Linked DNA regions of Drosophila melanogaster. The protein of the gene in region 2 interacts with the protein of the main gene of each other region in a pairwise test. Each region holds a gene or a part of one and is shown on either strand. Other genes may lie near its edges.

Region 1 (5,256 bases), on a different chromosome or scaffold from region 2:
CCATTGGCCCACATTTCCTCCTTGGCTTACACCTCGCCTTTGGCATACAGTGCCTTGCCATCAGCTCCTGTTCTTCTTTAGAAAACTTTAAAAGTAATAAAAAAAATCAAACGAACTCCAATTTCTCCCATTTTTTGGGGCTTCGCTAATTGGATTTACCGCTGGCATACTAAAGCGTCGAAATCGACAACCTACTGATGGGGGGCATTTGAAAATTTCGAACGCAGGTCACGTAATGGTCATAAAAATTATTGTCAGCTCAGCGGCAGTTGCTGCTGTCCAATGTTTGTTACATTAAATTGTGCGAAATTGATTTGTATTATAGGTTTATTTTATTTTTCGGCTTTGAGTACAGACCTTGGCAATTATGTCAAGGTCAAAGCTGACCTGTGACCGATATGAGCCACAGATTTGGCACAATCAACCTGTCTTAGAACCGATGGCCCAATTTGCGTTTGGTTGCCTATTTACAGAATATCCGTGTCTTTAAAAAGGTTTTTATTGCGATTGCGGAATATATGTTTTAAATATATGTTAAATATATGTTATTGCCCCAGAGTAAAATCGGTATATGTACTATATTCAAGGAAAAGTGGGTGAAAGGTAGAAGGAATAGTTTCCGACCCCAGATTTGTAGCGCTTGAGGCAGCTAAAGTTGGTGACAGTGCCTTCTAGGGGGATAGAAGGTTTTGGGCCGCCATCTGTGTCTGGTTTCTAAAACTATAATCGGAACACAAGAAGAATTCTTCGGGTCAGGCATTTTGGACTGAAAGAGGCAACAGAGCTGGTTGTCAATTTCAGGAGAATAGCGTGGGCACCTGTAGAGAGGTGGTTCGACCAGGATCCGAGTGCCAAGATGGGTCTTTTCCATTTGCGGCGGTCCAAGAAAACAGTTGTGGCAACAATGTATGTGGCTAGGAAAAATATTGGACGGCGCGTATGGAATTCGGAAGAACGGAGAAAGTTCAACTTCTTGTCTGGCGCAGAATGAGAAGAGGGTATACGAGTGTAAAGAAAGTGAAGGGATTTAAACATTATGCAGAATCGGCGCTTGATATTGTATAACTAATTGGAAGCGGATGCAGTTAAAGTTTCATTGGATTTGGAAGTCGTAGTATTTCTCCACCCTAAATAAGGGGACACTGAGGCCAGAGCCTCATACGTGGGGTTCGAAATTCCAAGTCGATCGAATTCAGCAGCTAGCAAGAAATAATTAAAAGCGTCAAAGTAAGGTTCGCGACCAAATTGGTCTCTAACTTATTTTCTATCAATCAATAATCTATCATTTATGTTAAGTAAAAACTCGAGATAGCTGTGTGAAATTTGATTAGTATTTAAATATATTTTTATTTTTTGAAGTCTCTAATTGTTTGCCTCTGACTAGGAATGAAACTAGGCTGAGGATCCGGGACATGACCACCGCACATAACCGATTTCGAACATTTTCACCCGAGGTTTACGAAATCGTTACACAATTGAAAAATATTTCTGATCAGGATCACCAGTCGAGTTGATTTGTCCATGTTCGCCACTTGAAAGTCACCAGAATGTATATTGGTCTTCGGACAGTTGGGATGGACGGCGGGATCTTGGGAACCATTTAAGCTACACAGTTTGGATTGGGCATTCAGATTTTAGAGGAGGAGGCGCAGCGCAAGGTAATTTGAAGATTAAACGCCCACTCTCACATTGTTTACACGCTGTGTGTCCTTTAAATTCGGTGATATCGAAAGCGATTTGAGCTTAAAAGTTAAAATTCAGCAGGGAGATTCTAGAAACGTAGAAGCAACTCGAGTATTTCGGTAATCATTTAGAAAAACACCAATATTTTCTGAATCACTGCAATAATTTAAAATTTTGCAGTTAATTTAGACACAACAGATAATAGGGCTGTGATTAAGAAATGTATCAGGTGGCGCTAGAGTGCATTCTCGGAATAATTGTTCATAAATGCTGGGAAATTATCGAGAAATCATCTTCGTGTACGTTCAGACTCTGAACTTCAGAGCCAATTTTGTATTGAAATATATATTAATTTGAAGCGTGCTTAAAAAAGAATAAACAATAGAATAACGTCTTATTATATCTCCATTTATTATCGTTGTCTCCGATGTGATCACAGATTAGTAATTTAGATAAGGAGCGGTGCAGATGGAACGGCGTAGCTCAGTGGTGCGGAGTAAGCCAAAGGCGAGGAGTAGGCCAGTGGTGCAGCTAGAGGAGTAGCCGCGTACTTCGCCACCACAGGAGCAGCCAATGGAGCAGCAGCGTACTTGGCCACCACAGGAGCGGCAACGGGAGCAATCACAGGAGCAGCGGCGATTCCATTGTAGTTCCTGGCGATAACCTGGCTACTGGTGGCGGTCACAACTGGAGCGGGAGCAGCTACCACGGCAGCAGGAGCTGAGTAAGCCAGAGGAGCAGAGTAAGCCAGAGGAGCAGTGTAAGCAAGGGGAGCACCCAGAAGTCCAGGCTTGGCAGCAGCGCAGGCAACGATAGCCAGAATAACAACGGCCTGTCAATAAAATGCGATGAGTAAATATGGCAGGAAGCTAAGATTCCAAACTTACGGATTTGAACATTATGATTATGGATCTGGTGCTTACGGTTCGAAAACTTGAACTTGTCTGATGTCGTCCAACACATTCCATACCACTATTTATACGCCGCATCGGGACTGCGTCTGTGACCTCAGGCCATCGCATTCCGTGGCCACCAAGAGTTATTCCACATTCTGCAGTCAGCAGTGGGAAATCACATAAACTACGGCACAGTGCAAATGGTAAATGGTAACGGGAGACTGTCACCGCATTTAAATGAACTGAATGAGTGCGATCATGAGTCAGATCTGAGCAAACATTCGGGTATAAATATGCTCCACGAAGAGCAGTGGGATATCAAAGAGTTTCTAGCCTTCCGAAGAAGCAAACCAAACAAATATTTCACCATGTTCAAATACGTACGTTCTTCAGAAAGGACACCCAAAGGATTAAACTAATCAAGTTAATTTGTTCACAGGCTGTCGTCGTTCTCGCTCTCGTTGCCTGCGCTGCTGCCAAGCCTGGACTCCTGGGTGCTCCCCTTGCTTACACTGCTCCTCTGGCTTACTCTGCTCCTGCTGCCGTGGTAGCTGCTCCCGCTCCAGTTGTGACCGCAACCAGTAGCCAGGTCATCGCCAGGAATTACAATGGAATCGCCGCTGCTCCTGTGATTGCTCCCGTTGCTGCTCCTCTGGCTGCTCCTGTGGTGGCGAAGTACGCGGCTACTCCTCTGGCTGCTCCTGTGGTGGCGAAGTACGCGGCTACTCCTCTGGCTGCACGACTGGCCTACTCCTCGCCTTTGGCTTACTCCGCACCACTGAGCTACGCTGCTGCTCCTGCACCATTTCTCATCTAAATTTTTATGCTGTGATTATCTAGGACGATAAATATAATAAAAAGGAACGCTTATATCGATTTTATGACCTCACAAAATTGCTGAAGTACTAGATCTTTGGCTTTGCAAAAAACCCGATACTTGTAGAATAAGTCTGTTTTGAGCGGTTTGTGGGCGTGGCCAATACATGGACCAACAAACTTGCTTTTATAGTTCGTGAGATCTCGACGTTAATACAAACAGATGGACATGGCTAGATCGACTCATCTATTGATCCTGAATGCCTGTTACATACTTTTCAACGAGTAACGGGTATAATTATATTATCACTTGTCTTACAAATATATATCGAAACGTTAAAAAACGTCCAGAGTCCAAGCAAATCTTTTTTAGAAAATGGCTTAGATTCGTTTTAATTTATTAGCTTGAGCTGTGCTGGACTATAGAATTTTCTTTTGGTATATCCAGGAGTGGTAGAAGAAAGCGATTTTGAATTTATAAGGTACAAATATTCTTGATCAGGATCCCTAGCCGATACGGTCCAGCCATAATTTCTGTCCGGTAGGTCTGTCCTTTCGTATAAACATCTCGAGTTTTTCGCACGGGTCCCACGGCCACACCGATATAAAAAAGAGAACAGGAACGAGGAAATAAATAAAATGTAAAATAACTATATTAAATATTAGTGTTAGTAGGATCTAATTATGTAATATAAAAGTTAAAATCGATTGCTTTAAGAGCGGCAGAGAGTCAAGATTACAGATAATAGGATAAAGTCTATTATAGTCAGAACATAAAACTCTGTAAGGGTCATGCAACTCATAGTTAGATCTACAATGATTTAAGATAAGGGGTATATAGTTTCTAGTGAATCTACTTGGAACCGAGCAGTTAAGCCGACTAATCAAGTCGGGACTCTCAACATCCCCACGAATAAGCTTACAAATAAAGACTGTTCCAAGCATAGTTCTACGGTTATTAATTAAAAGTAGTCTACTAGAATAAGGAGTTCATATACGGTTTGCATCCCAATTTAGGCGCCGCAAGGCAAAAAGTAAGAATTTTTTTTGGACCGATTCAATGCGATCCGAGTGGACTGCGTATTGTGGACTCCAAACAGGAGTGATCCCCACTCGAGAATCGGACGGATTAACGAAATAAATAAGGTTTTAGTCAAGTAAGGATCATCAAATTCCTTAGACCACCTTTTTATAAAACCAAGCACACCCCTGGTCTTATTGACAATAGTCGAAATATGGTCAGAAAATTTTATTTTGGGTCCAGAAGAACACCAAGATCATCAACTCGTGTTATTCTGTCCAAGGAGCACCCACTTAGAGTGTATGTCATGCGTATTGGGTTGGCACGACAAAAGGTCATAACTTTACACTTGGAGCCATTTACGTCTAACACGTCATCACGACACCATATTTGAAATCGATCTAGATCGGATTTTAAGTCCAAATGGCGCGAATTGTCCTTGTGATGGAGGCATTATTTAAAATCGTCTGTGTACATAAGTACACGCGAATGTTTTATTATTAAGGGGAGGTCGTTAATGAATAAGGTACAAAGAAGCGGACCAAGATGGCTCCCTTTGGGACACCGGATGTGACTCGGAGATTACAAGATAAAGAATTTTTAAAGAGGACTTGTAGCGACCGGCCATTCAGATAGCTTGAAATCCAGTTTAGAAGATCAACAGGGAAACCTAAAAGATCAAGTTTTCTTATTAGAAGGTGATGATTAACAGAGTCAAAAGCTTTACTAAAGTCAGGGTAGATGATATCGGTTTGAAGATTATTTTTGAAACCCTGTATTACGAAAGAAGTTAGCTCCAAGAGGTTAGTGGTTGCTGATCTGCGTTTCATAAAACCGTGC
Region 2 (5,528 bases):
CAAAGTGAAAAAAAAAAACATGGAAAAAGGTACTAAAAAAACGGATAAAAAACTACAGTAACAAGATTTTAAGATCCTTTTCACCAAAACGAAGAAAAAAACTTGTCACGCAGGATATCGTTATTCAAAATAGGAGTGAAAAAAAAGGCGGCAAAAAAGCTGAACTCTGTCCAATTATAAACGACTTTTTTCGGTAGTCAAGCATAAAAAATTTCGGAAACTGAACAAAAAAATGGGTTAAAAAACTGATGCGCCCAATACAATAGGGGCTGCATGGGATGAGCATGCATTCTGATGATTTTTTTCTTCCCGTCCTTTTGGGTGCGGACTCAAAAAAAAAAAAAAAAAACCGTCCAAAAAAGTATGCAACGGGCGGCATTTGGTTACCTAATTTGAATATTTGGCGCTGGAAATTTTCTCACGATTTTTTGTGTTCTCCCTGCCAGGTTACCCACAAGGCTGAAAGACACGCTGCGTTCAGGGTGACGATCAAGGATGAAGGACTCGCACAAAGACGCAGACGCCAGAAGACAAGGAGCTGAAAAAAATCCGGCTTTTTTTGCCTCATTTCCATGCGGAAGCGTTTCCTTGCCGAGGCATCAAGGGTGCCAGGACAAAAGGACGGCAAGGATGCCTTAATTTATGCACAACACGTTCGCGGATCGGACGCCGCCAGTTGTCCTCAAAGGGTTGAAGCGCTGATCCTGTCCCAGGACATAGCTCCGCATTTGCATACGTGATCGAGGAGAAGGAGAAGGGTGCGTCTCGCAGGACGGGAGGGTCAAACATCATTTTTCATTTATCCTCCGCAAAAAAAGTAGAGGTAGAAACGAAAAAAATCGTTGTGCTTTCGAATAGAAAAATACGTAAATTATTTAAATACATTTTTTTCACGCCATTTTTCAGAGTCCTGCGCATTAGGAAGTCGAGCTGCGAGCTCTAAACAATCATCAGCATCCTTAGAGAACTGGGTCACTTTTCTATGCAAATGGGAAGAGGATAAGGAGGAGGGACCCACCCCGAGATCCGCGCTGCCATCCTGGCACATCCTTTTGATCGGTCGTCCTTTTCTTCACATCTGTGGTCCTTCGGTTATTTGTTTATCTCTCCTTTGCATACTCGGGCTTTGCATCCGCCCATTTGAAACGCCTTGGGCGAGTTTCTCAGTCAATATTTGCTCATTAGTCGCGTTCTATAATTCTAATTATTATAATTATTCCCCCCAATGGAAAATGAAAAATTGATCAAGCAGCTGCTTAAACCTAAAAGGGTTCGAAAACCTTTCGATTCATAAAGCATACAAATAGTTAAATGCATTTTTATTTTGCATTTTAAGACCAACTACTATACCAGTGGTTAAGTAATGATCTGATGTAAGCTAAAAATGACTGTTCCATTGTGCAACAGTTTAGTTGCGTTATGCATCAAATTTAAAACCCGTCGAAAATTCCATGCTCATCGCCGAAAATCAATCAAATTATACCCTTCACGGGTTAAACACAATAATATCCATGAAATTCTTAAAGAAACCGAAAAAATTATGCAAAATTTATTCAAACGCTGAAATCAAAATTTCGCAAGCTTCAATCATTGTTTTGTGTTTGTTGGGTTTTATTGGCGGCAAATTAATTAAGTTACTTAATTACAGGTACAAGACGGTCAAAGGTCGATTCCCGCTTACCTTTCGCAAGTTCTCCTCATCCGAAAACAGGTTGACTTGTGCCAAAACTTAATTTTCGAAAGCTTTTCGATTGTCCATTAGTGGGAGTTTTGCAAGTAGTTCCTTTCGGTATTCGCCAACGAGCATACCCTGTACGAAAATATAGTATCTACTTATATAACTGATACACACTAATCCTAGAGGGTATCAATAAATGCAGCATACCCTACCTTTCGTTTAGATAAATTTGCGTTAGAAGAGACATAATGATTGATCGTGTGCCAATTGTAGACGAACCAAAAGTGGAACCGTTTTTTAGAGAAATGGGAAGGGAGGGGCGGGGATTGTTGGGGGAGACCATTAGGAATTTTTTTTTATTTTTGCTGCCTTTTGTTCACTGCCAAATAAATTTCATTTTTATTTGCCTTCTTTATTTGTTTTTGTTGCTGTCGGTACGCAATTTAAGTGAATATTCGGTTTCTAGTCAAACCGGTTCGTATTGGACAGACTTTTTGGGAATTTGTAATTCAGCGTACTGATATATCTTATGTATGTATATTTGTAGATAAGAACCAATCAATTTGGCAGCGAGTAAGTAATTTTACATTTTATGCTGGACTTTTATTTCGCAAGAAAACTGTTATTCGGTTATTTAACTATATTCAAGCAAAGAAACAATCTAACAAAGAATTAAGATTCTGCTAAGCCAAGGCTTATAAATGCAATACAAAAATATTTAAATTAGCCCATATTGTAATATTTCAATACTGTATTAAGTTAAAGGGATTCTTTTCGTAGAATCCCAGTAAACTGATAGAAAATTCTACTAAAGATCAAAAGTAAAGATTCACACTGAAATATATATGCTACATACATCTATTTGTTGTGAAAATATTCTACCCAATTAATCCTTAAAAATGTTGGCCGGCTGCCCCGATGAGCTGCCCAATCCGCACAAGAACTGCCTGCACGAGATGCTCCAGGCGTTGATCTGCAACGACAACGATGTGAAGCGCTTGAACACGGAGCTAAGGAATCTGAATCTAGAGCTAAAGGCGGAGCTGGCCAAGATTAACAAGGCGAACCAGAAGTGCGGGCACGAGAAGAAGGGCAAGGTAGTTTGCGAGAGCACCGAGGATGTGACGAAATTCGCCCAGCGGATCAATAGCCTGGAAGAGGTGACAGCGCACTTCACCCAGCGTAGTGAGGAGATTCGAAAGAGGCGGGACAACATCATCATCTATGCCCGCCAGTGCCTGTATGCCTACAACGAGGAGAAGTGCAAGTTCAAGTCGTTCCACGAGAACACGGTGGACTACATAAAGCGGACGGCGACACTCTCCCAGGATGCGGAGGTTATCCGGGCATGCGGAAAGGAGGTGTGCGAGCTGCATAAGCGCTTCGTGCGTGAGGTGGCCAAGCTGAAGAGCTGCGAGGCGGAGCTGCTGCCCTTTTTCAAACTGCTCAAGGATTCCGATCCGAAGACCTACTGCGAGTGCTGCTGTTTCAAGGGATACGACTGGATGCCCAAGAGCAAGAATCTGGAGGCCGTGGATGCAATGGCTGGCGAGATCAAGGAACAGATGGGCGACGTACTGGTCAGGGCCTTCGCTCAACTGCACATTCATTCGCCGCAGGATCCACGCGCCTTTATTGCCGCCTATCTGATGAATCTTGATCGTAACGAGCAGGAAATGAAGGAGAAGCTCGTGATTTTCCAAGCAGATCCAGCAGTGCAACCCCAGGAGCTTTCGGATCCCACATTCAATTGCGAGGATATTTGTCCGAAGCCTGAATGATATCATTATTAATCCACGATTGTATTCGAATAATAACTTTAAATTGGCGAGCTAAGTACACAGAATTTATTGCCACCAGCGGAAAAATTTAAATGAAAAGCGGCTTTCTTCAAACATTTTATTAATTCAAAATAAACACGCAATACATTTTGGGACATATGGTTTTCTACGTAGTAGTAGTTATATTTAATCCTTAGGTTTTCGTTATACAAAGGAAATCACATATAGAGCTGTTATAAACCTTATATACTCGGTTTGCATAGCCATCTAAGATCGGGTAAACAATGCAGCTTGGATATAAAGACGGCGTACGGTGGCTATGATTTATTTCTTGCGACGATTACGGCGCCGGGTGTTGGGATCCGGTTCCTTCTCTGCAATGCCTGTAACGGTGCCACCCGCTATCTCGGTGTTGGCCAACTTTTGCTGATTGTCCAAAAAGAACATAATGTCGCGAAGCTGTTCCTTTAATTCGGTCACCTCGGCGTCGTGGGTTTGCTTGAACTCGTTGTACTGCTGTTCCAAGAGTTTGTATTTGCCGTGCCAGGAGCTCTGGTTGCTCTGCAGTGCCTTGGACAACTCACGCTCTTCGTTCAGCTGCTTCTGTACATCCTTTAGCCTACAAGAGCACGAAATTGGTTAATATTTGGTTAATTAGGAAAGGCGATGTGAATGTATTTCTTACTTAGCTGTATGCTGGGCCAACTTGCGCTCCAAATTGACCTTTTCTTTCTGCATGTTCTGCTGAAGCTGTTGAAGCTCGGAAACCTCTGTCTTGGCGTCGTTGGCAGTCGCCTTGTGGTTCTGCCACTCCTGCTCCAATCGTTCCATGCGCTCCTCATAGTACTTGCGCTGTGTGTCCAGCTGAGAGGTCAACAGGTATGTGAACTCCATCTGCATGGAGTCAATCTTTTCCTCGCGCTCATCTTTCTCGGTTTGCGATGCCACCAGCTTGCCGTCGGATTTGTTTTGAAATAAGCGATGCACAAAGTTGTCACCGGCATAGTCCCATACGCTTGAGGTGCCCAACTGCATGGCAAAGGTGTGATTTGTGGCCCGGAAGTGTGCAGCAGCATGTCCTCCCTGGTAGCGTCCGCAGCCCACATGTCCGCAGATCAGGCAGATCCATAAGGAATCGGTGCCCTCGCATTCCATGCACACGGAATCTTCGACCAGTCCAGGAGTTTGAACATGGCGGCACACCGGACAGGTGGAGTCACCCCATTTCATCAGGCAGCTGGCGTGGAAGGCGTGATTGCACAATATGGTCAACACTCCATCCACGCTCTCGTCCATGCGCTCCAGGCACACTGGACAGGTGGGTAGCTCGGTGTGTCCCATTGGTGGTGCTCCATGCTCGCTCCTTTCCACCTCTGATACCCAGACCGCGTGGCACAGCGAGTCCGGTTCCAGTGAGTTGTAAGTACTGCCATTATAGGACTTGTAGAACTCCAAAGCGGATTCATTCGAGCGGAATCTATAAGAGTGTGATTATATTAGTAAATATCCGTGAATCTGTAATGTCAGATTGGAACGCCGCTTACTCCAAAAGCACCATGAACTGATTGGGGCTGCCGTCACGTACAATCTGGATGTGTTTAATCTCTGCATGACAGGGGGCAATAAAGTTCAGCAGATCGTGGCAGTTAAGAGTGGCCGGCACGGCCAGCAGGCAGAGTTGGTTAGATGGAGCTTCCTTGATGGCCTTGCGTTCGCTGAAACATACAGAAATAATGGTGAGTGAAATATTTAGTAGGATAGAGCAGAGTTAACCCACTTTTTCTTGTAGAGATGGATAAGACCTTTGGTCACCTCGACGATGGGATTGCCGGAGAAGTACCCTATCTCTTGGGGAAAGTTGGAGGCGCTGGCTCCCGCCTGGCCATCATCGCCGCTCCGAGGAGTTATCTCCCGGGAGCTGCCCGCCGAGGGGCTGTTCACATGCTGCACGGCGGCTACCCAGTTCATCTCCTGCTGTCTGGGTTCACTCAATTCCCGCTTCCAACGCTGGTTTGTGTACGTTTCGATGGTGATGTCGCGGGATTGGCGAAGTCCGCGGTCGCGTTCCC

The links. The genes of interacting proteins can lie anywhere in the genome.
Region 1: the proteins of CG14282 (region 2) and CG12519 interact in a two-hybrid assay, tested with the Drosophila melanogaster proteins (one large-scale study listed by BioGRID).

The regions. Positions count from the first base shown.
Region 1 is NT_037436.4:19,469,869-19,475,124, reverse strand, and holds CG12519 (uncharacterized protein), read right to left. Parts: upstream 2,635-5,256; 5' UTR 2,583-2,634; coding exon 2,571-2,582; intron 2,516-2,570; coding exon 2,132-2,515; 3' UTR 1,980-2,131; downstream 1-1,979. Other genes in the region: CG18294 (uncharacterized protein), read left to right, coding at 1-81; 825-Oak, read left to right, coding at 2,948-2,959, 3,019-3,396.
Region 2 is NT_033777.3:19,174,475-19,180,002, forward strand, and holds CG14282 (uncharacterized protein), read left to right. Parts: upstream 1-2,525; 5' UTR 2,526-2,577; coding exon 2,578-3,459; 3' UTR 3,460-3,512; downstream 3,513-5,528. Other genes in the region: CG5555 (uncharacterized protein), read right to left, coding at 3,784-4,078, 4,145-4,936, 5,004-5,174, 5,237-5,528.